Linked DNA regions of Macaca mulatta. The protein of the gene in region 1 purifies or fractionates together with the protein of each later gene. This does not show direct contact. Links are inferred from orthologs where the notes say so. Each region holds a gene or a part of one and is shown on either strand. Other genes may lie near its edges. The genes, in order: PPP2R2D, IER5, SERTAD4, PPP2CB, ECSIT, CDCA4 and PPP4C.

The links.
Region 2: the proteins of PPP2R2D (region 1) and IER5 purify together in Homo sapiens (affinity purification with mass spectrometry; 3 studies listed by BioGRID and IntAct, counting the BioPlex papers as one, with this or other methods). This does not show direct contact. The link is inferred for Macaca mulatta from reciprocal best matches to the Homo sapiens genes PPP2R2D and IER5.
Region 3: the proteins of PPP2R2D (region 1) and SERTAD4 purify together in Homo sapiens (affinity purification with mass spectrometry; 3 studies listed by BioGRID and IntAct, counting the BioPlex papers as one, with this or other methods). This does not show direct contact. The link is inferred for Macaca mulatta from reciprocal best matches to the Homo sapiens genes PPP2R2D and SERTAD4.
Region 4: the proteins of PPP2R2D (region 1) and PPP2CB purify together in Homo sapiens (affinity purification with mass spectrometry; 6 studies listed by BioGRID and IntAct, counting the BioPlex papers as one, with this or other methods). This does not show direct contact. The link is inferred for Macaca mulatta from reciprocal best matches to the Homo sapiens genes PPP2R2D and PPP2CB.
Region 5: the proteins of PPP2R2D (region 1) and ECSIT purify together in Homo sapiens (affinity purification with mass spectrometry; 3 studies listed by BioGRID and IntAct, counting the BioPlex papers as one, with this or other methods). This does not show direct contact. The link is inferred for Macaca mulatta from reciprocal best matches to the Homo sapiens genes PPP2R2D and ECSIT.
Region 6: the proteins of PPP2R2D (region 1) and CDCA4 purify together in Homo sapiens (affinity purification with mass spectrometry; 3 studies listed by BioGRID and IntAct, counting the BioPlex papers as one, with this or other methods). This does not show direct contact. The link is inferred for Macaca mulatta from reciprocal best matches to the Homo sapiens genes PPP2R2D and CDCA4.
Region 7: the proteins of PPP2R2D (region 1) and PPP4C purify together in Homo sapiens (affinity purification with mass spectrometry; 3 studies listed by BioGRID and IntAct, counting the BioPlex papers as one, with this or other methods). This does not show direct contact. The link is inferred for Macaca mulatta from reciprocal best matches to the Homo sapiens genes PPP2R2D and PPP4C.

What each region holds. Positions count from the first base shown.
Region 1 is NC_133414.1:144,033,910-144,037,409, forward strand, and holds part of PPP2R2D (serine/threonine-protein phosphatase 2A 55 kDa regulatory subunit B delta isoform), read left to right. Parts: intron 1-238; coding exon 239-351; intron 352-603; exon of another isoform or gene 604-1,498; intron 1,499-3,500. UniProt on the Homo sapiens protein: Substrate-recognition subunit of protein phosphatase 2A (PP2A) that plays a key role in cell cycle by controlling mitosis entry and exit. Involved in chromosome clustering during late mitosis by mediating dephosphorylation of MKI67.
Region 2 is NC_133406.1:38,498,210-38,502,313, reverse strand, and holds IER5 (immediate early response gene 5 protein), read right to left. Parts: upstream 2,640-4,104; 5' UTR 2,434-2,639; coding exon 1,450-2,433; 3' UTR 501-1,449; downstream 1-500. UniProt on the Homo sapiens protein: Plays a role as a transcription factor. Mediates positive transcriptional regulation of several chaperone genes during the heat shock response in a HSF1-dependent manner. Mediates negative transcriptional regulation of CDC25B expression.
Region 3 is NC_133406.1:67,970,106-67,974,377, forward strand, and holds the start of SERTAD4 (SERTA domain-containing protein 4), read left to right. Parts: upstream 1-1,472; 5' UTR 1,473-1,599; exon of another isoform or gene 1,600-2,074; intron 2,075-2,247; coding exon of another isoform or gene 2,248-2,547; exon of another isoform or gene 2,548-2,647; intron 2,648-2,701; exon of another isoform or gene 2,702-2,816; intron 2,817-4,272. Other genes in the region: uncharacterized protein LOC712687, read right to left, coding at 339-355, 782-866, 2,248-2,547.
Region 4 is NC_133413.1:32,598,432-32,602,509, forward strand, and holds the start of PPP2CB (serine/threonine-protein phosphatase 2A catalytic subunit beta isoform), read right to left. Parts: upstream 2,801-4,078; 5' UTR 2,797-2,800; coding exon 2,695-2,796; intron 1-2,694.
Region 5 is NC_133424.1:12,248,716-12,252,215, reverse strand, and holds part of ECSIT (evolutionarily conserved signaling intermediate in Toll pathway, mitochondrial), read left to right. Parts: intron 1-3,104; coding exon 3,105-3,500.
Region 6 is NC_133412.1:178,452,459-178,456,481, reverse strand, and holds the start of CDCA4 (cell division cycle-associated protein 4), read left to right. Parts: upstream 1-1,223; 5' UTR 1,224-1,808; coding exon 1,809-2,090; intron 2,091-4,023. UniProt on the Homo sapiens protein: May participate in the regulation of cell proliferation through the E2F/RB pathway. May be involved in molecular regulation of hematopoietic stem cells and progenitor cell lineage commitment and differentiation.
Region 7 is NC_133425.1:28,478,803-28,482,020, reverse strand, and holds the end of PPP4C (serine/threonine-protein phosphatase 4 catalytic subunit), read left to right. Parts: coding exon 1-26; intron 27-236; coding exon 237-338; intron 339-878; coding exon 879-1,052; intron 1,053-1,139; coding exon 1,140-1,266; intron 1,267-2,112; coding exon 2,113-2,302; intron 2,303-2,379; coding exon 2,380-2,509; 3' UTR 2,510-2,718; downstream 2,719-3,218. UniProt on the Homo sapiens protein: Protein phosphatase that is involved in many processes such as microtubule organization at centrosomes, maturation of spliceosomal snRNPs, apoptosis, DNA repair, tumor necrosis factor (TNF)-alpha signaling, activation of c-Jun N-terminal kinase MAPK8, regulation of histone acetylation, DNA damage checkpoint signaling, NF-kappa-B activation and cell migration.

The DNA.
Region 1 (3,500 bases):
TGAAAATTCAAAGTATGCAACAAAAACCACACGTGCAAGTTACTAGGATGTTACTCTGCACGTCTCCACATCTTTGTTTATTGTGCAAAACACCTCCAATTGGAAATATTCATGTTCAAAGACCCCATAGCTTATAAACCAACATAGGACCACACCGCTTTCTAATATAATACTCAAACAGTAGTGATGCATGTTACAGTTTTTCTTTTCATATGGAGAATGAGGTTTTTATTTTCAGATAAAACTATAAAATTATGGAAAATAAGTGAACGGGATAAAAGAGCAGAAGGTTATAACCTGAAAGACGAAGATGGAAGACTTCGAGATCCGTTTAGAATCACAGCACTACGGGTATATGTTGCCTTTTCTTTATCCAATGCCGTTCAGAAGTTAAGAATAAATGTTTACGTCTGCTGTTTGGAGAGTCCTGCTGGGTGGAATACTGTGAGGTCCGCCTCCTGAGTCATGAAAGGCATTTGCGCTCATGACACATGTGTTTAAAGCAAGGTCTTTCTCCTATTTTCACAAAGGCAAAAAGTCACATGTGGTCTTTAGACAATACTGCAATACTAAGGGGAAAACTCACATCTAATTCTACAGCAGAAATCTTGGTGGACGTACCGACCACCCTTCTCTCTGAAGGTTCGGAACAGCACCTGGCAAGTTGAAGTTCAGATGGAATTCCGAACACTTCGCAGGTGAAACAGCACAGGCTGCAGATCGAAAGATAGGCTGTGGGCCACCAAGATGCATTCAGGATGTTCTCATGGCATTTCTTTGGGGTTGACTTAGGCAGATGCTGACAGTTCAGAACTCTTCACCTGTCCATCCATGAGCATCATTACTTTTTTAATTGTTAAGTTATTTGCTCCATTGTTGGCGCCCCCCTATCCCCACCCCCCCCCCGCATCATGCAGTATGAAATGACCATATTTCGTCAATTCCAGGGCCTAGATTTTTTCACATTTTAACATCTATGAAATCGGGTAAAACTTAAAACCTCAATGTCTTATAATTGGCCTGGTGCTACGTACGACTGATGTGTGTCTTAAATTAGATGGAACATGGTGAAGGGTGTCCAGCAAACTGGACTCCAGCCCGGGTGTGTCTTGGTGAGAAACCAGCACCTGTGCAGAGGTGTGTCCCCTGGAAGGAAACCCTGCCTGGTCCCAAGGGAGTGCCATTACTAGATCTGAAAACGGTTGGTGGGTGGGTGGGTGGGTTGGCTGGTTGGTTAATTGGTTGGGTGGTTTCGTTGCCGGGGGGTGGGTGTGGCTGGTTGAGTTGGTTGGGTTGGGTGGCTGGTTTTTAATGAGATTTCAGCCCGTTACGCTATTGTTTATCAAGTGAAGACCGAGTGAGCGAGCCCATTCCACATTAGCCTTTGAAGTGCTACAGAGAAGGACGCTGAGCTGCAGAAGCCTTTCCCTAACACACGTGCCCCTGGGAGTGACGCTGGGTCTGTTCTGATGCCATTTCTCCAGCTTTGCCGTGCGGGGTGGGTGCACCTGGGGTCGTGCATTCCCCAATTTCCCAGGAGGAGTGTCCTCAGACTTCTCACATCGAGGTTATCACCCTGTTTCCTATGAGCTCATCAAAGTGAGAAAGGCTGTGGCATGTGCTGAAAATGTAGTTTATAGGGTCCTAATGTGAGCCAAGATGTTTCAATCCAAAATGGTGGTGGTGTCTGATACGCAGTGCCGCTGCCTTTGCATCCATGAATTAGTGTAAATCATTTTTAGTGACAGTGACACGAGTTGTGCAGTTCCTTTATCATGAAACTGCTGACCCTAAAGTAGAAGTGTGATGGGACCCCTGAGGGTGGGCACTTGACCCCCTCCAGTCTCGTCCATCTCTTCTACAGGCAACACCACCTCCCACCCAGGTACCTGTGCATACCCCACCCTCAGAAACCCCTGTTCCTCCCGATCAGACCCTGCCACAACCCATGAGTTCACATGCTCATTTTGGGAAAACAGTAGGCCTTTACTAGGCCCAGTCTTGGTTTTATTCAAGGCTGCTTTTGTAGGTTTAGCCTAAATAAAATGGGTATAATTGGTGGCCCTACTGAAGGCTTGTGAGAAGTATAGTTATTTCATTAGTCAGTGCATGGGGAAGAGACCACAGACAGGTAATTCTGTACAATGACTTAGGTCAGTATTTGAGATTGTACCTCTCTAACAGTTCAGAATGGGCTATTTATGTATCTGAGCCTAACTGGGTAAGAGTCAGAAATGTTGCTATTTTTAAATTTTTGCTCTTAAATTATTTTAGTGCCAGAAAAGGGATATAATTAAAAGAAGAAATCTTGGCCAGGCACGGTGGCTCATACCTATAATCCCAGCACTTTGGGAGACTGAGATGGGAGGATCACTTGAGCCCAGGAGTTCAAGACCAGCCTGGGCAACATAGCCAGACCCCATTTCTAAAAATGAAAACAAATTATTTTATATGTAAATTAAAATTTTTTTAAATAAAAGAAGGAATCTTTGTAAGTATTGCAGCCATCATGTGTTTTGATTAATGGGAGATTTGTTAGAGGATTGTGGCAGGTGTGTGTTTTTTAAGCCTGAACTTCATTGAACTGACTCTTCTTGATCTAAAGAATCCAAGGCTGTGGTCAGCACTAACCGGGTTAAAATGGGGGAAGTCTCACTACACACACTTCTCCACGTTCGTTTTTTACAGAATTTGGCCAGACAAGACTCAGTTGAGAGATTTTTTTTCCCTAAGCTTTCAAGGCTCTCCCTTTTGGTTTCTAATTACAAGAATAACAAAAAATACTCTCATTAATTTTTTGTTTTGATTTTAAAGCTTATGTTTTTCTTCCAGCTGGGTGTTAGGGAGATGCAGACCTTTGTCCTTTTTTCATGTGTGATGCTATTCCTCACACCTGAGCTCTCACCTCTGACCGCAGGCGGCCTCCAGCCAGCACCCTTCTCCTCTCTGTCCTTTCCATTTCAGTGTGAATTGGGCTTCCCTAGAAGCCTCCCTGACCGCCGCACTCGACACAGAGATGGGTGCGGGAGGTACCTTTTACTTTTTGTTTTAACCTCAGATGAAGTGTAATGAATAATACATACCTCCAAATAATATGTCTGCCCTATAAGTGACCAGCTCCATGAATGTTTGTAGACTGGACATGCCCATGTAGTCAGCCCCAGACCAAGAAATGGAACATCCTCAGCTCCCCAGCACCCACCTGTGCACCCTGCCAGTCCCTGGAGCCGGTGGAGGCTTGTGGGGTTTGCACCAAGAAGCATAGTCCTGGTGCAGTGAGAGGAGTTTTGTGCATGTAGCTGCAAGGAGAGGACAAAGGGAGGGGCTCAGCTGAGCCACCCAGGAAGACTTTGCTGTCCAGCGTCTCAGTGTGGCCACCAGAAGACGCATAGGAGAGGGAGCCGCAGGCCTTGGTGCCTGGGCAGCTTGTACCGTGCCAGCTGATCTTCTTTTCTTCAGCAGGAAGAAAATGTCGACCTCGGTAATGGAAGCAAGGGGGA
Region 2 (4,104 bases), on another chromosome or scaffold:
TTTGGACAAGTCAGTCTCTTTCATCTTCCTATGTCAGTTCGAATGGGCTTTTAAGGTAAACTATCTAAACTTTTTTTTTTTCAATTACAAAGCTAAAAGATGACCCATATTAACAGCTTAACAGGAAACAAAGTTTTGCTGAAAAACATTTTTGCAGATAAGCAGGGCTTCAAAAGCTGATGGTTAAATTACTTAATAATATATACCCACATATTGGGTGACAAATTGGTCTAAACCGACCTTAGAAAAGCCAGTTGTAGCGGTAGGTTTCAAGAACCTGGCAGGTCGCTGATATTAGTATCTAATAGCATTCCTCTGATCTAGGAGGAAAAATTAAACGTGTCTCTCTTGATACTTAGTGGAGTCAGTAAACAATGTTCTCAGTCTGCGAATGACTGATATTAAGAACCACACCTTCAATTTTCTAGCCCAGGCCCTGGTTTCCCTCCTCCCACTTCCCTCCCAACCCAGGCAGGTTATTGCAGACAAGCAGGCAGTTACGTTGCTTCAAAATATTTAATACGTGTTAGACACGTAGAAGTTACATTTTTATACAAAAATCAATACAACGAAGGAGAAAATACTGTACAAAAACCTTATCAGCTCCCCCAACCTTTATATAACAAAGACTGGAGTCACCATATCTACAAAACCATAAGGTCTTTCCACTTCGGGCTTCTGTCTGTAAACTTTCATTAAACACTTTTTAAAAGCACTGTGTAGTAGTTCTGACCTAGAGCTTTTAAAAATATATCTTTTCTCTATAAACTCCATTATTTCCAAGCTTGAACTCTTCTGTGAAGTTCAAGCTTTTTCTCCCCTGCGGGGAAGCAAAGGACGGTTAATATGCCCCTTTCCTAGAGTAATCACAGGATATAAACGTTTCTTCATTGGGAGAGAAAGGTGGGGAGGGACAGAAGGAATCCAAGTCTGTGCTGCTGCCTAAATCCCTCTCGTCTTAGGAAATCCTGTGCGGAAACGCCACTCCTGGCCCTGAAGCGGGTCTAGCTTTCCGGTGAGGGGTGGGTGTAAAGTCCCTCCCTCCCCGGAGAACGAATGGGGAACTCCCCGGCCCAAACCTTTTAGCCGCTTCCTTCTCCACGCAGCCGGCAGAGGAAAGTCCCTGTCTGCCCCCAATCTCTTAAGCCCTGGGGAAGGAGTGGTGCATTCCAGAACAAAATAGTCTTAATGCCACAAGACAAACTTACATACACAGACATACACAAACACAAAAAGTTAAAGATCGTCCTCTTCCAATGAGCCTCAAGCTCCCAGGTCTCCAGAAAAGCCAGATGCGCCCGGGGGCAGTTTGCGATGCCCAGCGGCAACCAGTCTGCCCAACGCGCTCAGCGGCCGCGGTCTCTGGGCGTCCTCGCAGCCAGCAAGGGCCCGACCCTCACTTCGAGGACGCCCGCTGCTCAACCTCCTCCCCGCATGGGGGCCAAGGGCTCAGAAGGCCACGATGGCTGTGCTCCAGGGGTTCATGTCTCTCAGCACCGGCTTATCGCAGCAGATCTGCCCGGGCTCGGCGGCTTCCGGGCCGCTCTCCTCTCCCTCCTCTTCCTCCCTGCCGCCCCCGGGGCTTTTCCGTAGGAGTCCCGAGAAACTGGAACCGAAGATGCTGATGAGGTTAGCCACGTTCCCGGTCTCCATCTCCTCCGCGTCGTCGTCCTCTCCTCCACTCGGCGGCTGCTCTAAGTTCCGGCGGGGCTTCTTGAGCGGGGTCGAGCCGGGCGCCGGGCAGCCCGCTGGGCCGCCGCCCACCCCCGCCGCGCCGCGCTTCCTGGGGCACACTGCGGGCTGCGCGGGGGGCTCGTCCTCGGCTGGTCGCGGCGCGCAGCAGCAGGCAGTGCGGGGGGTCGCGGCCGGTGTACCCGGCGGGTCCTCCCCGCCTAGGGGGCAGCCGCAGGGGCGGCGCGCGGCAAGCGATCCCTCGGGGAAGACGCCCCAGCCTCCGGCGGGACCCTCGGCTTCTCCGGCCGCCGCCTGGCGCGGCCGCTCCACGCGGCTCCAGGCAGCTTCCGTCGCGTCCGCCTCTCCGCCCTGAAGAACGTCCCCGACTCCGGTCACCGTGGTCACTGGCACCTCGTCCCCTACCCGCGGCGCGTGTGAGACGGAAGGGCGCTCCGGTTGCGGCTCGGTCTCCGGCCAAGAGGCACGGGCGACGGGCGGGGGCGGCTCTCCCCAGCCGGCGGGTGGCCCGGCCGCCGGCTCCCCGGGCTGCTGCTGCGGTGGCGGCGCCGGGATCCCAGCGGGACCGGCCAGGTAGAGGCCGGGGCACGGGTCGCTCAGGTAGACCTGGCGGGCGCTGCGCAGCACCAGCGAGACCAGGAGGTTCTTATGCAGCTTGATGCCGCCGCGCTGGACCCGCGAGTTGTAGATCTTGCCCAGGGAGATGCTGACGATTCGGTGAGCCTCCAGCTTGAACTCCATCCTGCCTCCCCTGCACAGGGCCGTCGGCGCCGGGGTGTTACGTTCGGAAACTGGGAGGGAACGGGAGGCGCAAACAAGTCCGCCCCGTGGGCACACCCTTGATCACCTAAGACTCCGAAGAGAAATGACTCCGGTGACGCGCGCTCACTGCCCCGCAGACCTCTCTACACCAGACAACTACCCCGTTTCGGGTCCGGTAGCTAAACAGGGCAGCCCGGCCGCCCCGCGCCTTATATAGACTCCTCGACCGCCAATCACGAAGGGCCGCCAACCGTTCCGCGGCTGGCCGGCGCGCCCTCGTGCGCCGCGCACGGCCAATCGGAGCCCGAGGAGGGGCGCCAAGGCCCGTTCGAACGTTAGTCCCGCGGAGCAAGCTCTTAAAGGGGGCGACGGATTGCGGGCGCAGACCAGGCCGATGGGGAGTGAGTGTTGGGGACCGTGTTGGGGACCGTGCTCGAGGGCGCTACTGTTTGGAGTTACAGATTCTGGCTTGTGCGATGGCTTGCCGGAACCAAAGCGAACAAAATATTCGAACTTTCTTCCGAGCACGGTGTTGGACTCTGTTCTGCCATAAAGTCCTGATCTTTTCCTGATCAACTCCGCCCTAACCGGCCACGCCACCATTTCCAGGCCCGCCACACCTGTAAGCGATTCCCCTCAACCCTGGCAAAAATAGAGATGGTGGCTATACGCGGCGGAGGACACCCCTGGATAACAAATAGTATTACTGCAAAGTATTTGGCTGTCATTATTTTTGGATGAGCCGCTTTCCCCGCTAGAGTCACATACACTCTTAGCAGCTGTCAGTTCTAACACCAAAGAAAAAGGGGATTCTAAAAGTTTTTGGCTAGGTTCTTGGCTTCTTATCAAGGAATTGTGTCTAGATACAAAGTTACTGGTTGCCCTCTAAAGCCGGCATCTTTCACTTTGTTCTCTAGATTCTGGAACAAAGCCAGTTATCAAATAGGTTAAATGGAAGATGTTACAGGTTCTCCACAATGATTTTTTTCCCATTTCCATTTTTCCATTACAAGGACTGATCAGTCAACCCTTGGAAAAATCGAGCAAGGTCTGAAAATAAAAAGAAAGAAGTCCTGTGTTCCCATGATGATGTCATAATTTCATTTTGTGTCAAGGTAAAAATATAGCGCTAGGGAGTTCCAGAATTTTCTGGTCAGTCAACAATGTAGTCCATCTACTGGTCCTTATATCAGGGCACAATTACCACAGGGTTGCCCAGGGTCCTGGACTGGAAACATGGAGTCACTTCCAGTTAGTTCCACCGAAGCTCCACCACAGACCTGCCTGAGGACTCTGGGTAAATAACCTCAGACCGCTTCAGTGTCTCCACCGCTGAAAAGGGGAAGTCACATACACATCTGCTTTATTGTACAGACGATAAATGACAACTTCTCAGCCACAAACTGAATGAGAAAACTAAGCACTGCTTTCTTGGAGTCCATGTGGAACCCTGGGCCTGATCCTGCCCCAGGGATTGGCCAAGCAATGAATTTATTTAGGAAAAATACCAGTGAAGGGTGGGCTTGATCATGACCAATTGACAATCTCCAGAAGATGTGATGGCTCAGTAGCATTACCTGTGCCCACAACTGATGGTAACTGAGACTGCAGGCTCTGAGACCCAGTTCCTCCCCCCTCTAGGAATTTTCA
Region 3 (4,272 bases), on another chromosome or scaffold:
TGTACAAAGTTCAACAGAAACACCTTCAAAACAGATTAGTTCTAATTATGTTTAATATTGGTTTGCTACTTTATTGAATAAACTACATTTGCTTAAAAAAAAAAAAAGGAAATTCACTTAACTGCATGTCAGTCACCCAAGTTTTAAGTGTACAAATGAAATGGAAAACATTTATTACACAAATTTAATTACAATTCTAAGAAATAAACATGCAAATTAGATAGAGTTCAATTTGCAGATGCTAATCCTCATCCTTGATCTTGTTCCTTCCTCCCTTGATTTTCAGTCTGTGCGTCTTCTTGATTCCTAGGGTGCCAGGCAGCCAGAGGTTTGGTTTTTCACAGTCGGAGGATCACTGTTTTAAAGAAGTGTTATATTTAGCACATCTGGCATAGTGGCAGTAAACAAACATTATAGTCTTTGTAACACTTTTGTGCAGGTGCCTTCTCCCGATTTTATTAGGTCTATGCCTTCCAAGCCTCTGCCTTCATTACACCTAAAATGACCCATCTCGGCTATGGAGGGGTCCCTAGACAGAAGTTATGAATTAATGTTTTTAAAAAATAAACTCTGAGGCCACTATAGGAGAAAATTACTATTTGCAAAAATTCTGATTCCAAGGCTTAAATTACATTCTCTTCAGCAAGGACAATCTCTTGTATTACTTTTTATTTCCTGGAGGTTTTCCCTGGAGGCTCCCCACCCAGAAAGAGTTGCCAATTCAAGTTGCAGCAGGACCAAGGTTGCTTTTTTTTTTTTTTTTTTTTTTTTTTATACGTACGCAGCTCAGGAGGGAAACGGGCGGGGGCGGCGAGGGAGAGTAACTGTTTGGTCCTGCAAAGACATCTGTTTCTCATCTCCGTTTGCTGTGGCAAAGGAGAAGAAAGTCTTTTGCAAACGGTGGGAAAGGCACAGATTTTTTTTTTAATCACACGCACACACAACAACAACAAAACTAAACCAAATTTTAAAAGACAAGACATCTCGGAAGGTTGCAGTGTGAATACATTATTCGGCTGGAGCCGAGCCCCCAGGGTTAGGGCGGGAGCCGGAGAGCGCGTGGGGTCTGGGCTGCGGGCTGGAGCTGCGCCCGCGTGTCCCCGGGCACCGGGAAGGGAGGGGAGGAGAAGGAGGAGGGAGGGCGGGAAGGAGGGAAGGAGGCAGGGGGCGGGCTGGGGTGGGGGTGCGGGAAAGGCGCCCCGTGTGCAGCCTGAGGAGCGGCGGCGGCGGCGGGAGCAGAGGGAGGGAGGGAGAGCGGGCGCGCTTGTCATGTTCCCTCTCTCACCCTGGGGGCATCCTGCAGAACCTCTCCTCGGAAATCCACGGGGAAATGGCAAACAGGATTGACGGGTTTCACACGCTGCTCGCTAGACAGAGCCGCTCATTACCATAACCGTCTGCAGCGACGGCGGCGCAGCGCCCGAGTCGCGGCGGCGGGACCTGCCGGGACCCTCGCCCGCCGCGCACCCGCAGTCACCGCCGAGCGGGCCGCCGGGCCGGGACCCGTGAGTGTGCACCGGCAGCCGGGCTGGCGCCGAGCCCAGAGCGGACCAGCAGCGGCTCAAGCGCTGCGGCCGCTGCCTCCCCGCTGACCCCGCGGTAAGAGCCGGGCTGGGCGCAGGCCGCGGGGGCGGGAGAGGGCCGGGCCGGGTGGAGAGGGAGGGCCGGGCCGGGTGGAGGGCGAGGGCCCCCCGGGGCTCCTGCCCGCTCAGACGGGCACCCACGCGGCCTCCCGCGCGCCCTCTTGGCACCAGGGCTGCGCCGAGGTCACCGAGTGGACTCGCAGCGGCCGGAGCGGGGTCGGGGCGGCGTGGGGGCCAAGGCACAGCTGGGCGCGGAGGCGGCGCGGGCTTTTCCCTGGGCTAGCGTGCGCTGCGGCGCCTTCACCAGGGCGGGAACCGCCGCCTCCTCTAGGGCTGCTCGGGCTGCCACCCGCGCGCACCGAGACAACTCCAGGGGCGGGTGGGGTCAGAAGCTCTGGTGAGACCTCAGGGTCCTCGGTGGTCGCTTAATCCCTCATCCTAGGGGACGGGGGTCAGTAGGAGGGGTTCCCCCAGGTCCGGATGCCGCGGCGCTTGGCAGGTGGGGAGAGAGGGATTGTGGATGTCAGGAGCGCGCGTTTGCAAGAAAAAGGAATTGATGCAGTAGCTGACACCTTCTGTCCCCCGCCACCTCCGCCCCCGCACCCTCCTCCCAGGCAGCAGAGCCGCGCTGCGGGCGGCGGCGGCTCCTCTGTCCTCAGCTCACCTCCCCGGCGGGCTGAGGCTGCTGCCCGCCTGGTCCACGCCTCCGCCTCTCTCTTCCCTTCCTCCCCTCCAGCCTCTTCGGCCCTAGCAACTTTCCGAGTGCCCAGCTACGGTCGCAGAAGCAGGGAAGAGGCGTCCTCGCCGCCAGGTCCCATGGGCGCAGGGCGCTCCCGCGGCCGGGGGCTTCCGGCGGGTTTGGCCGGCAAGGGAGGGAGGGAGGGCCGGGCCGGCATCTGCTGCGGGCTGGAGCGCGGGGGCCCGGGCCAGCCCCGCCAGAGCCCTGCCAGCCGCCGTGAGTCATTTCCTTGGAATCCTACCTTTGGTGTTTATTTCCCTTAGAAGGAAACTTGGTTGAAAAAAAAAAAAAAAAAAAAAGGATAAGACATAAAGAATAATAATAGCTCTTATTCTTCCGAAGAGGCACACGGCTCCGGCACCGTAGAAAGACAACTTGCCTTTGTTCCCGGACACTTGGGGTGTTGTTTACTTTCTCCTGCGGCCAGCGGCCGACCGGGAGCTGCTGGCTACCCCGGGAGGGGCTGAGGGCTGCGGCACCGACACCCCGGGGGTGTGTCTGTGCGGGAGCCAGAATGTGGTTGGTGGCTGCCGCCCGCCTTCAAGAGGTCGGCCCTCCAAACCTCGGACCCCCCCACCCCCCGCCCCGCCGCCAACACACACACACACCTTGGGCACCGGGGCTTGGACATCGGAGCACCCCTTCGTGCTCTTTAAGCCCACCCAGCACCTGCAGCCCCAACCACAGGACCCAGCTTCAAGCTCTTGACCTCGTAGGGCTGCAGCTGAGACATGTACTTCCCAGGGCAGACAGGTGTACTGCAGGGACCGGCAGAAAAGCGACATCTGTCTGTTTAGAAGGGTTGAAGGATTTTGTTCCGCCCATCCAGTCCCTTCCACTACCACCACCAGGAGCCGGACAAGCTATTGAGATCATTTTAGGACAATGTGGAGGTCAGGGGCTTGATGCCATTTAAGACTGGCAGCATCGATCGAGGGTGGAAATAGCCCTTTACTTCCCTGCTTTCCAGTGCTGGAATCAGACTGCTAACTGCTGTAATGATCTTAATCAAATGCTCTCCAGTTTTCAATGACAGATGGAAGAAGAGGTGAGCGAAGAATAACCTGGCGCCCCTTGTTAGATTCAAGGTGCCGCTGAATTCATAGCTATCCTGTTTTGTGTGCCAGCCACTCTTATTAGCATCATAATTGCTTTGAGGAAAGAATAAGCACAACTCATCTGGAAAAAAACAAATTGTGTAGGAATGTCTGGTAACTTTACTATGAACATTTGCTGGAAAAGCTTGGCATTCTAGCCCTCAGCCTTCTGGGGATGCTGGACATGTCATTCCACTACAGCCACCTGGGTGTCAAAACAGACATTCAGGAGCCTGAGGATGAAGGGTTGGGGCTTGTTTTTGTTTTTGTTTTTTTAATCTTTTAAACCCATGCATAGGCAAAACACACTCTAACACCCTCCTGTTGAATCCACCACCTCAGATGTTAGAAAATAAATTTTGTCATAATGTATATCCTTTTATTTGTTTAATATTAATAGAACATGAATTTGTGGACTTGAACTGCTGACATCAGTAGCAGAATTATAAATCTCATCAGACTGAGAATTATGACAGTTTAGATCTCTACATATAATATGAAGACAGATTCATGTTAAGCATTTGTGCTTAATCCTGCAGTGTCCAATTTTTCATGAACAGTCAACTTGCTTTCTTAATTTGTTAACATCCATCCAGTGTTAAGTTTTAAATAGACTAGGAAGACTCAATTGCAAAATCTCCTCCCTGTTCCCAAATAATCCCAATTCATTCACGTTTTATTCAGATTTACATAAATCACTTGCAGAACTCAGCCTCTCTAGTTTAGGGTTTTGTGTGTAACAGTTCTCAATTTACAGAAGAAAAACTTACTAAAATTAGATATTGTGAACAAAAAAATAGCCAAGATAAATACTGTTATGCCATGTTTCCAGTTCACATGCATAATAGCATCT
Region 4 (4,078 bases), on another chromosome or scaffold:
AAAAAAAAAAAGGGCTGGGAGTGATGGCTCACTCCTGCAATCCCTGTACTTTGGAAGGCCAAGGCGGGAGGATCGCTTGAGCCTGGGAGTTCAAGGCCAGTTTGGGCAACATGGTGAGACCCCATACAAAAAAATATTATCCCGGTGTGGTGACACATGCCTGTGGTCCCAGCTACTTGAGAGGCTGAAGTGGGAAGGTCCCTTGGGCCCCAGAGGTCGAGGCTGCAGTGAGCAGTGACTGCCCCATTGCACTCCAGCCTGACTGATACACCAAGACTGCATCTTAAAAAGAAAAAAAAAAAGCTAGTAAGATACAAGAGATAATCTTAAATATACCTGTGAAGTCCTAGGAACTGTTAGTTTGATTTATTTAGGAGCCGAAGTAAAAATAATCTCTCTCGACAAATACAGAAAGCTTCCTCAAGTGATCGTTGACACTCCGGTGTGATTATTTCAAAGTACAGCAGTGGTACGATATTCTTCTCTAGGAGTTCACCTTAAAATTATTAGAAAGTCAATGGGGACTGTGCACGAGGCTCGTGCCTGTAATCCCAGCACTTTGGGAGGCTGAGGGATCACTTGAGGTCAGGAGTTCTAGACCAGCCTGGCCAACAAAGCGAAACCCCATCTCTACTAAAAATACAAAAATTAGCAGTGCATGGCAGCGTGTACCTGTAATCCCAGTTACTCGGGAAGCTGAGGCAGGAGGATCCCTTGAACCCAGGAGGTGGAGGTTGCAGTGAGCAGAGATGGCACTACTGCACTCCAGTCTGGGCTACAGAGTGAGACTCTGTCTCAAAACAAAAATAAAACAAAAAAAAGAGTCAATGGAAAAAACTGATTCAACTAACACTTTGCCCTTAACTTCAAGTCTGTATTCTGATGCTCATAGTCAGGTTAACTGACTCAGCTCATTTCAAACCTGTACATTTCACTTGGCATTAGAGCTTGAGAGAGATGTTTAAAGCATACATTTTAAGCCTCATGAAATTACAGGTTATCACAATAAAAATGAACGTCGACTGAAGTCACAAGTAAGCAGTTTGTTTCAGAAAGAGAAAAGTACCACCTGCTTGGCACTTCTATATACAAAAATAAATCCTCCTGTGTTAACAGTTACTTAATACACAAAGGCCCCAGCCAACATTACACCCGTTAAAAATACTATTTTAACTTAACACCATCTATTAGTGCTCCTTTCCTAAGTAAATTTCATGATTTTAAGAGTGTCCTAAAATTAGACTAACAAAATCTTTTCTTCACCTACTTCTGCGACGTCATGACTTCCAAACATTATGGTTAAGAAAATTGTATACATCTTAAAATAACATCGTTACTTCTTCATGGACTTCAAGTGAGAATTTTTAACATAAAAATACATGAAAATTATTTAGTCCACCTTGTAAAGGATGAATTTGGAAAACTCTAGACTTTAAAGATGGAGAGATCGAAATAATTCCAGGAGTTAAGAAAACAATGGATACAGAATTCAGAAAGTGAAGATCACACACGATGTACAAGAACGAAATTGATCACCTGCATGTTTTATTATTCTTTGGAAAAGAAAAAAACTTTATATATTAAAAACAAAAACTTTCTGCAAAGTGTTATCGTGCATGAAAACACACATCCCATTTATTTCCAGCAAACACTGTTCCCAAACTTAAGACCAGCTCTCGTTTCTGAATCAACGCTTTACTTCCAAGAGCCACTCAACGCAAAGACCAGTCACCATCTGTTTCCACCAAAGTCAACCTCTATTTTAAAAATCACAGTTGGCCATCACGCCTACCTCTCCACAAACAAACGCTTGACACATTCAAGAGTCAGTGATTTTTTTTTTTTTTTTTTTTTTTTTTTGAGACAAGGTCTCGCTCTGTCGCCCAGGCTGGAGTGCAGTGACGCGATCTCGGCTCACTGCAGCCAGCCTCCACCTCCTGGGCTCAAGCGATCCTCCCACCTCAGCCTCCTGAATAGTTGAGATTACAGGCACCCGCCCTCACGCCCTGCTAATTTAAAAAAAAAAAATTTTGTGGAGACGGGGCCTCACTGGTCTCTAACTTCTGCGCTCCAGGCTGGTCTTTAACTCCTGGGCTCAAGCAATCCTCCCGCTTCGGCCTCCCGAGTAGCTGTGACCACAGGCGTGAGCCACCGCGCCCGGCTTGAGTTAGTGATTTCTGAGGTGCCCCGTTCACCTGACAAAAATTCTACATTTATTAACAAGTTCATTAATAGGCACGACATTCTGGTTAATTTTAGGTGCATTTTCAGAAACTGGTCTGAAAATGGTCCTTTTCGGATGTCGCTTTCGTTATTCCACTCGGGAAATGCCAGAGTGGCAGGAACTCCAGTGGAGCGCAGGCGACCCCGACCAACCTCCGGCTTGGCTCCAGGGGCTATGGTTCCCCGCCCGCCCGCCCGCACTCGAGCCTCCCACCACCAGGATCTGGGCCGGGGGCGTGGGGCGTGTACCACGCGGAGGCAGAGGGGCCGGGCGAGGGCAGCCCAACGCCCCGGGGCCGGAACGGCTGGGCCGGCCGCCCGGGTAGACGCCGGAGCCGGACCCACAGCCCCGCGGGCCCCCGGTGGGCCGCGCCGGGCCAGGGGCCAGCGTGCGGACGGGCCGGGGCGGGCAGGAAAGCTGCGGCCCGTCCCAGTTCCGCGCTCCCGCACTCGCCCCCGCGGCGCCCTCACCTTCTCGCACAGCGTCCGCACTTGGTTCTCGTTCAGCTGCTTACACTCGTTCAGCTGCTCGACCCACTGGTCCAGCTCCTTGGTAAACGCCTTGTCGTCCATGGCGGCCCGATCCCGATGCGGATCCCGACCCCCGGCCCGGCCGCTGCCCTCCCCCCTCCCCACCCGCCCCCGGCCCCGGCCCGGGCGCCGCTCCCCTCTCCCTCAGCCGCCGTCGCCAGATCCCACAAGGGGAGGACCGAGCCGGGGAGGGCGGCCGCGGTCCCCGCGCCCCGCCCAAGCCCAGCAGGCGGCTCCGAGCGCGAGGCCTGTAGGAGACCCCCGCCCGCCCTTCCCCGCCCGGCCGCGCGCCGCAGGAGTCGGTGAAGGACGCGGGGAGGTGCTGGGAGGGCGGCGCGGGCCCTCGGACTAGCTCTCGCCGGACGAAGGCCGCCAGCTACCGCTTCAGGCCCGCCTCACGCCTGCCGGCCTCTCCCGGGTATCTTTCCCCTTCTCTCGCTCTTTCTCTTCCCTCCCTCCGGGTTTCCGTCATCGCTCGGGCATTTCCGCCGGGAAAAGGCGAGCAGGCGGCGGCGCCGCCGGGACACGGCGCGCTAGGGGCAGAACGGCGCCCTCGCGTGGCTTGGCGGAGAAACGGTCGGAGGAGGCCAGGATCCCTCCTGTCCCAACCCTGCCCCAGACCAAGCTCTGCTGGTTCTCCCTTTAGATATCCTGATCTCCGGGAACTTTGTCCTCACTTTAGCTTCCTGCAGTGCTTTTTCAGCGCTCGGAACAGGGAATTGGAAAACTTGGGCTTCCCTTAACATTGTCTCCCCAGAGTCTAGCACTCAATAGTAGGCATTCAATAATGGTGGAGTAAATTAATTATTTCCAGGCTTGCCTGTAGCCCTAACATCTTGAATCCTCCCTTTCAACATTAGAAAAGTGAAATGATTGCTCTGTAGGATAATCTGTGGCCCTTCTAGCTCCAGCGCTCTTGGCTGTGTTTTCTGCAATGTGTACTGAGTTGTAATGATTTGTTCATTCAACAAATATTTATTGAGTGAGACACAGCAGGGACCCCTCTTAGGGGCCTTCTAGGCACTCCCACCCCCACCCTCCCCAAGCATGGAAATAAAGGAAAACCTTGAGTTCCCCGAAGGGACATTCCAGGCACCTAACTTCCTCAATAAGTCAATGAGCAACCTGATAAGCAAGAAGGTAATAATAGCTTAAGACAGTAGCCAAGGACGTTAGATTCACAAAATGTTTGCTTCCCTATATAAACTGGAGACAACATATGTCCCTGAGTTGTTTTTCAGAAACCTGGACCTCACCAAATGGAAAATGGTGTCCACTATCATGGAGATCTCAAACTACCTATCTTTGTTCTAAATTTCTTCCT
Region 5 (3,500 bases), on another chromosome or scaffold:
TGGTAAATATCGTCTCTTTTGAGACAGGATCTCACTCTGTCGCCCAGGCGGGAGTGCAGTGGCGTGATCTTGGCTCACTGCAACGTCAACCTCCCTGTCTCAGTTGATCTGCCTACTTCAGCCTCCACAGTAGCTGGGACTACATACATACACCACCATGCCTGGCTAATTTTTGTATTTTTTTGTAGAGATGAGGTTTCAGCAGATTGCCCAGGCTGGTCTGGAACTCCTGACCTCAGGTGATCTGCCCACCTCAGCCTCCTAAAGTGCTGGGATTATAAGTGTGAGCCACCAAGCCTGGACTAATATTGGCTCTTAACTTGTTAGCTATATATGTATTTATGTGTGTGTGTGTGTGTCTGTGTAGATAAACACACATACATTCACTTATTTTTTAGAGATAAGGTTTCACTCTCTCATTCAGGCTGGAGTGCAGTGACACAATCGTAGTTCACTGCAGCCTGGAACTCCTGGGCTCAAGCAATCCTCCCGCTTCAGCCTCCTAAGTAGCGGGGACTACAGGTATACACCACCATGCCCAGCTTATTTTTTAATTTTTTCCATAGAGAGATGGAGTCTCACTATGTTGCCCAGGCTGCAATGCAGTGGTGCAATCAAAGCACAGTACAGCCTTGCTAACTAGCTGTATATTTTTAAGATGCCTTATATGTAATCCTTCTAATTTAAAAATTCAATTTAAAATAAGAAATTTGTTACTGTGTCATCTAGAACCAGAGTTTGGCTACTCTGGAGACTGAGGTGGGAGGATCACTTGAGCCCAGGAGTTCTGGGCTGTTGTGCACTATGCTGATGGAGTGTCCTGCACTAAGTTTTGCATGAATATTGTAACCTCCTGGGACTTGGGGGACCACTAGGTTGCCTAAGGAAGTGTGAACTGACCCAGGTTGGAAACAGCAGGTCAAAACTCCTGTGCTGACCAGTTGGCTCATGCCTGTGAATAGCCACTGCACTCCCCACCTGGGCAACATAGCTAGATTCCATCTCTTTTTTTTTTTTTTTTTGAGACGGAGTCTCACTCTGTAGCCCAGGCTGGAGTGCAGTGGCCGGATCTCAGCTCACTGCAAGCTCCGCCTCCCGGGTTCACGCCATTCTCCGGCCTCAGCCTCCCAAGTAGCTGGGACTACAGGCGCCCGCCACCTCGCCCGGCTAGTTTTTTGTATTTCTTAGTAGAGACGGGGTTTCACCGTGTTAGCCAGGATGGTCTCGATCTCCTGACCTCGTGATCCACCCGTCTCGGCCTCCCAAAGTGCTGGGATTACAGGCTTGAGCCACCGCGCCCGGCCTAGACTCCATCTCTTAAAGAAAAAAGGGTCCCAGCGCTTTGGGAGGCTGCAGTGGGTGGATCACCTTAGGTCAGGAATTCGAGACCATCCTGGCCAACATGGTGAAACCCCGTCTCTACTAAAAATACAAAAATTAGGCCAGGCACAGTGGCTCACATCTGTAATCCCAGCACTTTGGGAGGCTGAGGTGAGTGGATCATGAGGTCAGGAGTTCAAGACCAGCCTGGCCAACATGTGAAACCACGTCTCTACTAAAAATACAAAAAATTAGCTGGGCGTGGTGGCATGTGCCTGTAATCCCAGCTACTTCGGAGGCTGAGGCAGAAGAATTGCTTGAACCAGGGAGTCAGAGGTTGTAGTGAGCCGAGATCGTGCCACTGCACTCCAGCCTGGCAACAGAGCGAGACTCCGTCTCAGGAAAAACAAACAAACACAACACAAAAATCAGCTGGGCATGGTGGCAGGCACCTGTAATCCTAGCTACTTGGGAGGCTGAGGCAGGAGATTCGCTTGAACCCAGAAGGCAGAGGTTGCAGTGAGCTGAGATGGCGCCATTGCACTCCAGCCTGGGTGATAAGAGTGAAACTCTATCTCAAGAAAAAAAGAAAAAGAAAGGGGCTGGGTACGGTGGCTCATGCCTATAATCAGAAGACTTGGGGAAGCTAGGTCAGGCGCGGTGGCTCACGCCTGTAATCCCAGCACTTTGGGAGGCCAAGGTGGGCGGATCATGAGGTCAGGAGATTGAGACCATCCTAACATGGTGAAACCCCGTCTCTATTAAAAATACAAAAAATTCGCTGGGCGTGGTGGCGGGCGCCTGTAGTTCCAGCTACTCAGGAGGCTGAGGCAGGAGAATGGTGTGAACCCGGGAGGTGGAGCTTGCAGTGAGTGGAGATTGCACCACTGCACTCCAGCCTGGGCGACAGAGCGAGACTCTGTCTCAAAAAAAAAAAAAACAAAAGACTTGGGGAGGTCGAGGCAAGTGGATCACTTGAGGCCTGGAGTTTGAGACCAGCCTGGCCAACATGATGAAACCCCATCTTTACTAAAAATACAAAAATTAGCAGGGCATGGTGGAACACGTCTGTAGTCCAGCTTACTTGTGAGGCAAAGGCATGAGAATCGCTTGAACATGGGAGACGGAGGTTGCAGTGAGCTGACTGTCTTAAAAAAAAAAAAAAAAATTAAAAGCAAAAAGGGCCACCAGGCACAGTGGCTCATGTCTGTAATCCCAACACTTTGGGAGGTGGAGACGGGATGATCACTTGAAGCCAGGTGTTCAAGACCAGCCTGGGCAAAACAGCGTAACTCCTGTCTGCTGAAAATGGAAAAATTAGCCAGGTGCGGTGGTGTACACCTGTAGTTCCAGCTACTGGACAGGCAGAGGGGGAGAATTGCTTGAGCCCAGGAGTTCAAAGCTGCAATAGCCCTAGTAGCACAACTACATTCCAGCCTAGGCCACAGAGCCAGACCCTGTCTCAAAAAAAAAAAAAAAAAATATATATATATATATATATATAGGGCATGTGCGTGTCATCACTGTGATTATTACCAAGTTGCCTCCGTGGCAGTTTTTACCAGCTCCCCATAGCCATGGCTAACAGTACCTGTTCCCTCCCTACTGTGCCAGCATTGTGTTTTATTGCACTTTGTAATGGCGTCGAATCTTGGGTTCGTAACCACAGTTCCATACCTCCAAGTCCTCAGGGAGGCCACTGGGACCTCTCCCAGGAAAGCCAGCCTGGCGCCCCCATGGACACTGGGAGGTGCCGGATTCCAGCAATTCTCCTCCCTCCCCAGGTCCCTCGCCAGCTCCCTCGGGGCCTGCACTGCAGCGCAGCCCCCCATAGCTCTGAACAGTCCCTGGTTTCCAGCCCACCGGAACCCCGGCAGAGGCCCACCAAGGCTCTGGTGCCCTATGAGGACCTGTTTGGGCAGGCGCCTAGCGGGGAACGGGACAAGGCCAGCTTCCTGCAGGCGGTGCAGAAATTTGGGGAGCACAGCGTGCGTAAGCGGGGCCACATTGACTTCATCTACCTGGCCCTGCGCAAGATGCGGGAGTATGGCGTCGAGCGGGACCTGGCTGTGTACAACCAGCTGCTCGACATCTTCCCCAAAGAGGTCTTCCGGCCTCGCAACGTCATCCAGCGCATCTTCGTCCACTACCCTCGGCAGCAGGAGTGTGGGATTGCCGTC
Region 6 (4,023 bases), on another chromosome or scaffold:
GCTGAGGCGTGAGGATCACTTGAGCACAAGAGTTCGAGGATACAGTGAGCCATTATCACGCCACTGTCCTCCAGCATGGGCGAAATAAACCCGTTTTTTTTTTAAATAAGAACAGTGATTCTTTTCAAGCATAATTCAGATCCCAGTTCCTTCTCTGCTGACCGTCCCAGTAGTCTCCATCCCACTCAGAGAACAGCCTCAAAATCACTCCACCTCTCACATTTAAACTTTCCCACGAGATCACAGGGTTCTTTTTCACTGCACTGAGACTTCTTCCTGCCCCTGCCTCGGGCTTTGTCCTAGCCATTCCTCTCCTGGAATACTCTTCCACTCTTCCTTTTGGTGCTTTAAGACGCCTCTTATCCTAGAGACCTATGTGAGCAGCGCCCCAACGTCACTCCCAGCTTTTTCCGACAGCATTTCAGCATTAACCACTGACCTTGGCGCATCCGCATCTGCGGATTCAGCTGAGGATTCCCCCACCACCAGCACAGGGTTCTCAGCTGCAGCCACGCCTGCCGGGCCTGCTGCAGGCGTTCAAAGAATATTAGACTCTTGTATCCTATTTAAAACCTTTTCCACTAAGAGATTTAAAACACGTGTTTCCCTGCTTTCTACTTTCACGTTACATTTCTTACGTGTAAACCTGGGAAGCCTCTAGAGATAACCGCGGTTTCTGGAGAGGCTGGGATAGACTTCGGAGCCCAGGCCGCCCGGGAACTGCCGTTCCCGGCTCCTCCCCACCCCGGCACGGATCCCTCGGCAGAGAAGTTAACCTAGGCAGAAGGGAGAGAGGATCAGCCCCTACCAGGCTGCCCCGCCACGCCCTCCCGAGGGCACCACGTGGGCCCCCAGCGCAGGCGCATTCAGTTTAGGACCCGACGTGCGGAGACCTGCGAGCCGGCGGGGCTGGGCGGGGCCGGATTGGGCGCGGGGAGACCTGGGAGCCGGCGCGGCGTGGGCGTCGCGGGGCCCGGCGCGGAGGCGGAGGCGGGGGCGGGGCGACCGAGGGCGCGCGCGAGCCCCAACGGCCGTCGCCGCAGCGCGGGAACACGCGCCGCAGATGCCCCGCCCGCGCGGGTTTGAACAAGAGGCCCCGCCCCCGGTCCGTGGGTGGCCAATCAGTGGGCACGGCGCGCGGAGGGCGCAGCGTCGACCCTTTGTGGACGCTGAGTGGCGGTCGCACGCCCCGCCCCGCGCCGGCGGGCGCTCCTCCCTCAGCGGCGGGAAGCTGGTGGCGGCGGCGGCGGCGGCGGTGGCGGCGGCTGAGCAGAGGAGCCGGCGGGCGGCCTCGCGGGTCAGGTGAGCGGGTCTGGCTGACCGCGAGGGCGTCTACGGCGGCGCGCGCGTTTGTGCTGCCGGGCGCGGAGGAGCCCGGGGGCGGTACGCGGAGTCTGTGGCTCCTGGCGCTGGCTTGGGTCCGGGGCGGAGGCGGCGCTCAGGGTTCCCGCTGGGGCTGCCGCGGGCGCCCTCGCCGCCCTCCTGGGCGCTGGTTCCACCGCGGGGTGGCCGCTGCTGAGGGGGCCCGGGGAACCAGAGGGGCCCGGGCCGCCGTCTGCGTTCCATGCGGATTGCGGAGCTGGGGCTTCGTCGAGGCCTCCGGGCGGCCCCACACGGGAGCGACTTCGCGAGGGCCCGGCTGGGGTACGCAGCGGCGTTTCCTGTACCTCGGCTCTAGTTGCCGCGGAGGGAACGCCGGGCGCGCCCCGCCACGGCCGCCCCCGCCCTGTCCCCGGCCGACCTCACTAACCGGGCCAGGGCGCGCTGCAGCCCCCTCAATTGGATCCCGGCCGCGGAGAGGGCCGAGGATGTGGGAGGAGGCCCAGACCCCGGGCGGGTCGGCCAGCGCCGTCTTTCCTGGGCTCCTCCGGCGTTCCGAGGTGGGATTAGGAAGAGTCCCCGAGACATTTGCAGAAGTCAGAGGCAAGCTTCCCTGCGCGTTTTCAAACGCTTCTCGTCCAGTAAACAGGATCGTCGTGACAAAGGCTCCTACAGCTTGCTGGAATAGAGGGTCTCCGCTGCCTCGCCTCTCCTGTGGCCTTCGTGTGGGACTCACGAGACGGCAGGACCCAGATAACCGTTCTCTCAAAGTGAGCCACAGAAAAACATCGCCTGTTCCCAAAACTTAGGTTTTATAAACTTTCTACGTACAACCACTCTATTTTCAAGTGTCACCATGTTTTATAATTAGGGTGGAAATCAACACAAAGTGAGTTACACCCTTTTTCTAGGAAGAGTGGTAGGCTTTATCTTAGAAAAGGGGCCAGGAAGTTTCCCTCAACTTGCCATTGGAACATGTTTTCAGGGAAAGGAAGGTGTATCGTTCCAAGTAACAAAAGTACCTGAAATTAGCTGGGCGCGGTAGCTCACACTTACCAGCACTTTGGGAGGAGGCCTAGGCGGGTGGATCACCTGAGGTCCCCAGTTCGAGACCAGCTGGCCAACATGGTGAAACCCCGTCTCTACTAAAAATACAAAAATTAGCTGGGCGTGATGGCGCATGCCTGTAATCGTAATCCTAGCTACACGGGAGGCTGAGGCAGAAGAATCACTTGAACCCGGAAGGCGGAGGTTCTCCAGCCTGGACGACAGAGCAAGACTCCGTCTCAAAAACAAAACAAAACAAAAATAACCCCTGAAATTAACGTATCAGTAATTGTTCAGGAACAGCCTCCAGCAGACTGTAGTGGAAGGTGGAGCTCCCACTCAGTAGATCTCAAGACTGAAGACCTTGCTCCTCTTCTTCCTGTTTTTCCGATAGAGTATTTCAAAGCTTATCTGATGTGTGAGAAATGGAAATTGTTGATAATTTGCTTAACCCGAAACTTCGAAGTGGCTGCAAGTCCAGCTGTGAAGGTGACAGGTTAGGTCAGAGTTGAGTCTGTCCCCAGCAGTCCCAGCCCTATTGGTCAGAATCTGGGAATCTGCATTTTCAGCCAGCCTCATGGGATTGCTCAGCCACGAAGGTGTGGCGGCTGCTGCTGTAGTGAAGGGCCGGTCCCTCAGCTGTACTCTGCTTGCCTGAGTAGCACTGCGGGGCTGCTCTCTGCTGGCCTCTGCCTCCGTGGGCTTAGTTTACTCTGTCCCTAGTGGCCTGTAGGCTGTCCCACCTGCCATGTCAGACATATCTTCAGTCTGTCTGACCCTCTTGGTTTTTCTCTTTCTGGTTGATGCTTGGTTTAGAAGCCTAAGGGCGGTGCTGGGAGTTGACTGAGGGGTGAACGCCTTGGCTGTCCCGTTGACACCCTGTGGAGTTGGTGGGATTTTAGGCATTTAACTAGATGTGTAGAAGGAGCTTCAAAACTGAGCAGGGGGTCAGGCATGGTGGCTCACACTTGTAATCCAACACTTTGGGAGGCTGAGGTGGTCGGATTGCCTGAGGTCAGGAGTTGGAGATCAGCCTGGACAACATGGTGAAACCCCGTCTCTGCAAAAAATACAAAAATTAGCCAGGTGTGGTGCCACGTGCCTGTAGTCCCAGCTACTCAGGAGGCTGAGGCAGGAGAATCGCTTGAACCTGGGAGGTGGAGGTTGCAGTGAACTGAGATTGCATCACTGCACTCCAGCCTGGGGGACAGAATGAGACTCCTTCTTAAAAAAAAAAAAAATTGAGCAGGGAGCTAGGCTCCACAGCCCCGCCCGTATGGTATAGGGCCCTTCCTTCCATATTAGAAGGAGTTAAGCAGCCTCAGGCCAGAGTCACACTGGAGGCCCTCAGGGAGCTGGGCCCAGCCCAGGCATCCCTCAGGGCTGGTCAAGATGATGCTCTTGGTGACTTTGTCCCAAACACAGATATGGCCCAATTCAGGGTGATCCTCACAGGCCAGCTTCTCCGGGCCCAACCTTATCCTCTTCACCCCTGAACGCACGTTGTGGGTGACAGCTCTTAGGGGTCACGCGACTGTAAAAAACACCTGTGAGCTTTACTCCTTTTTGTATTAATAGTAATAAACTTGTTAGCATTTTAAAATATTGGGTACAACACAGAATTAGCTGCTGGAGATTTGGAACATTGGACAGCAA
Region 7 (3,218 bases), on another chromosome or scaffold:
TCTATGACCTCAAAGAGCTGTTCAGAGTAAGTGTGTGGCCAGTACTGCGAAATGTAACGGGGATGACTAGAAGACCCCTTTAATCGAGGGTGAGAGCCTTAATTTGAGGGTGTGGAGTGGGGGCAAGAGGCCCCGAGTTAGATGGGCAGTTGTGGAAGAAGGGCCTCTGCTGGACAGAAACAGGTAGGGGGTAGGGGACTGTTTAGGACAGGGCAAAACTTTCTACTTCCCCACAGGTGGGTGGCGATGTCCCTGAGACCAACTACCTCTTCATGGGGGACTTTGTGGACCGTGGTTTCTACAGTGTCGAAACGTTCCTCCTGCTGCTGGCACTTAAGGTGGTAGTCCCCGGCTTCTGCACCCCCAACCTGGGCCACCTCGGGTCGGGCCTGTCTTAGTCCATTCTACCCTCATCTCCTACTGTGGCCAGCCCCACCTGGGAGCTGTGTCACTGATGATGGACCGATCCTGCTTTTGGGGGTGGTCAGAGACTCAGGGGTGGTGGTGGTGAGGCCAGTGGGGCAGCATTCTGGGAGGGGCAGAGGCTCACTGTTGCGAATGTGGCAGGTCATTGATGCCACTGGTGGGAGAGGCAGTGTGGGGCCAGATGACAAAGGGCCTGGGTGCCTTGCTTAGGGACCCGGTCTGTGTCTGGCAGGTGAAAGAAGAGCCATTAGGTTCATAGTTGATGGGGATGGGTCAGGTTTACATTCTCTGGAGGGGTCCTGCAGGCCTGGGAGGTGGCTGATGCCACACGATCAGGTGAGAGGTTCCAGGAGTGTGCTGGGCAGTGGTTGTGAGGATGGCATGAGGAGGTCAGAGAGGGATGTGTGGAGAGACCGTCTAGGAGCCAGCCCCGGCTTGGTGGCCACCCCCAGGTTCGCTATCCTGACCGCATCACGCTCATCCGGGGCAACCATGAGAGTCGCCAGATCACGCAGGTCTACGGATTCTACGATGAGTGCCTGCGCAAGTACGGCTCGGTGACTGTGTGGCGCTACTGCACCGAGATCTTCGACTACCTCAGCCTGTCAGCCATCATCGATGGCAAGGTAGGCCAGCTCAGGGCTCCATGGGACGGGGAGAGGAGGGGGGCTCCAGGCCTCAGCCCCGCCCTCTTTCCTTGCTGTCCCCTGTAGATCTTCTGTGTGCACGGGGGTCTCTCCCCCTCCATCCAGACCCTGGATCAGATTCGGACAATTGACCGAAAGCAAGAGGTGCCTCATGATGGGCCCATGTGTGACCTCCTCTGGTCTGACCCAGAAGGTGAGGGCATGTGGGCAGGGGCAGACAGGGACAGCCAGGAGGGGTTGGGAAAGAGAGGGAGCAGGGCTGGCCTTCACTGGCATCTGTCCTCCACCTACCAAATGGCTGGAACCCTGGAGGTTGAGCAGGGAGGCCTGCATGACAGATGCTTTGAACGCACAGTGGCTTGGGGCATGGCTCAGAGGGCTGTAGTGGACAACTAAGTCATTGCTCCCTGAAATGAAGGGATCTTGGAACATGACAGCAGCTTCTTCAGAGGTCAGAACCCCAGAATGATAGCCCCCTGAGACCCCTCTTTTTGTGGGTTCTCCACTAGTGTAGAGCAGAGCTGAGATTTAAAGTCAGGTCTTCTGAGGACCAGCCAGAGTTCTTGTTGTCACACATACACACAGGCACACACGCGCACACACACACTCTCTGTCTGCTCCATCATAGCCACACGCACGTGAGGCCTCTGCTCCACAGCCACACACACACAGACACACGCACACATGCAGCCACTGCTCCACAGCCACTCCCGACCGCTCTGTGACAGCACTGGGTGCCCTTCTGTCTTTGGGAGCACCCCTTTCACTCCTGTGTACTGTTTGGCCAGGGATTATATGATCACTGTCATTATGAGGAGGTCCCAGCCATTGGGCATTCTTTCTCCTCTGGAGCTCATCTGCCCCTACATTTGCTGTCCTGGTCCCCACCATCCCACAGACCATATTCAGGCCCCATGCTCTGGTCCCATGGGCCTCTGGTGGACTTGGGGAGGGGCCAGGCTGCTCACCCTCAAGGGGCAGTGCTGGCAGCCGGAGAAGCCTGAGGATATCCCTCTGCATCCCTCCCTTGCCCCATCAGACACCACAGGCTGGGGCGTGAGCCCCCGAGGGGCTGGCTACCTATTTGGCAGTGACGTGGTGGCCCAGTTCAATGCAGCCAACGACATTGACATGATCTGCCGTGCCCACCAACTGGTGATGGAAGGTTACAAGTGGCACTTCAATGAGACCGTGCTCACTGTGTGGTCGGCACCCAACTACTGCTACCGGTGAGCCAGCTGGGCCGGGCTGGGAGGGGCGGGCATCTGAGCCGAGCTGCTTCTGACCCTGCTGCCCCGCCTTCCAGCTGTGGAAATGTGGCAGCCATCTTGGAGCTGGACGAGCATCTCCAGAAAGATTTCATCATCTTTGAGGCCGCTCCCCAAGAGACACGGGGCATCCCCTCCAAGAAGCCCGTGGCTGACTACTTCCTGTGACCCCCCCGGCCCCTGCCCCTACAGCCCTTCTGGCCCTCGGACCACTGTGACTCTGCCTTCTTCCTCAGACGGAGGCTGGGCGTTGTGGGGGGAGCTGTCCCGGCTCTGCTCTTCCCCAAGAGGGTGCTTCGAGGGTGAGGACTTCTCTGGAGAGGCCTGGAGACCCAGCTCCATGTTCCTCCTCTCCTCTCTCCCCACTTGAACCATGAAGTTTCCAATAATTTTTTTTTCTTTTTTTCCTTCTTTTTTCTGTTTGTTTTTAGATAAAAATTTTGAGAAAAAAAAAGAAAAAAAAAATTCTAATAAAAGAAGAAAAATGGTCTTTGGGTTTTTGCCAGACTTGGTTGGGAATGCATAGGGTTGCTGGCCTGGGACCTGGGGTGGACCTCAGGGCCTTGACTGCTTCAGGGCCCCGACCTGCCAGGATGGCCAGGCTCAGGCCAGTCAGCTTGCCCAGGGCCTCCAGGGGCCGCTGCCCGCTGGCTTCCCCAGTGCTAGGGAGAGGGCTCTGTTCTCATGCAGCCTTATTAACAGCATCACGAGATTCTGATTTCTCCACTTTCCTGAAGAGATGGGCCTAGAGAGCTGGTAGATTTCGTGCTAGGTCAGGCAGCTGGAAACACAGGTTTAGATCTGGGTCTGGGTCTCCCAGCAAAGCCTTTGCTCACCCAGCCCCGCCCAGGGCCAAACACAGGAGCTTCAGTGTTTC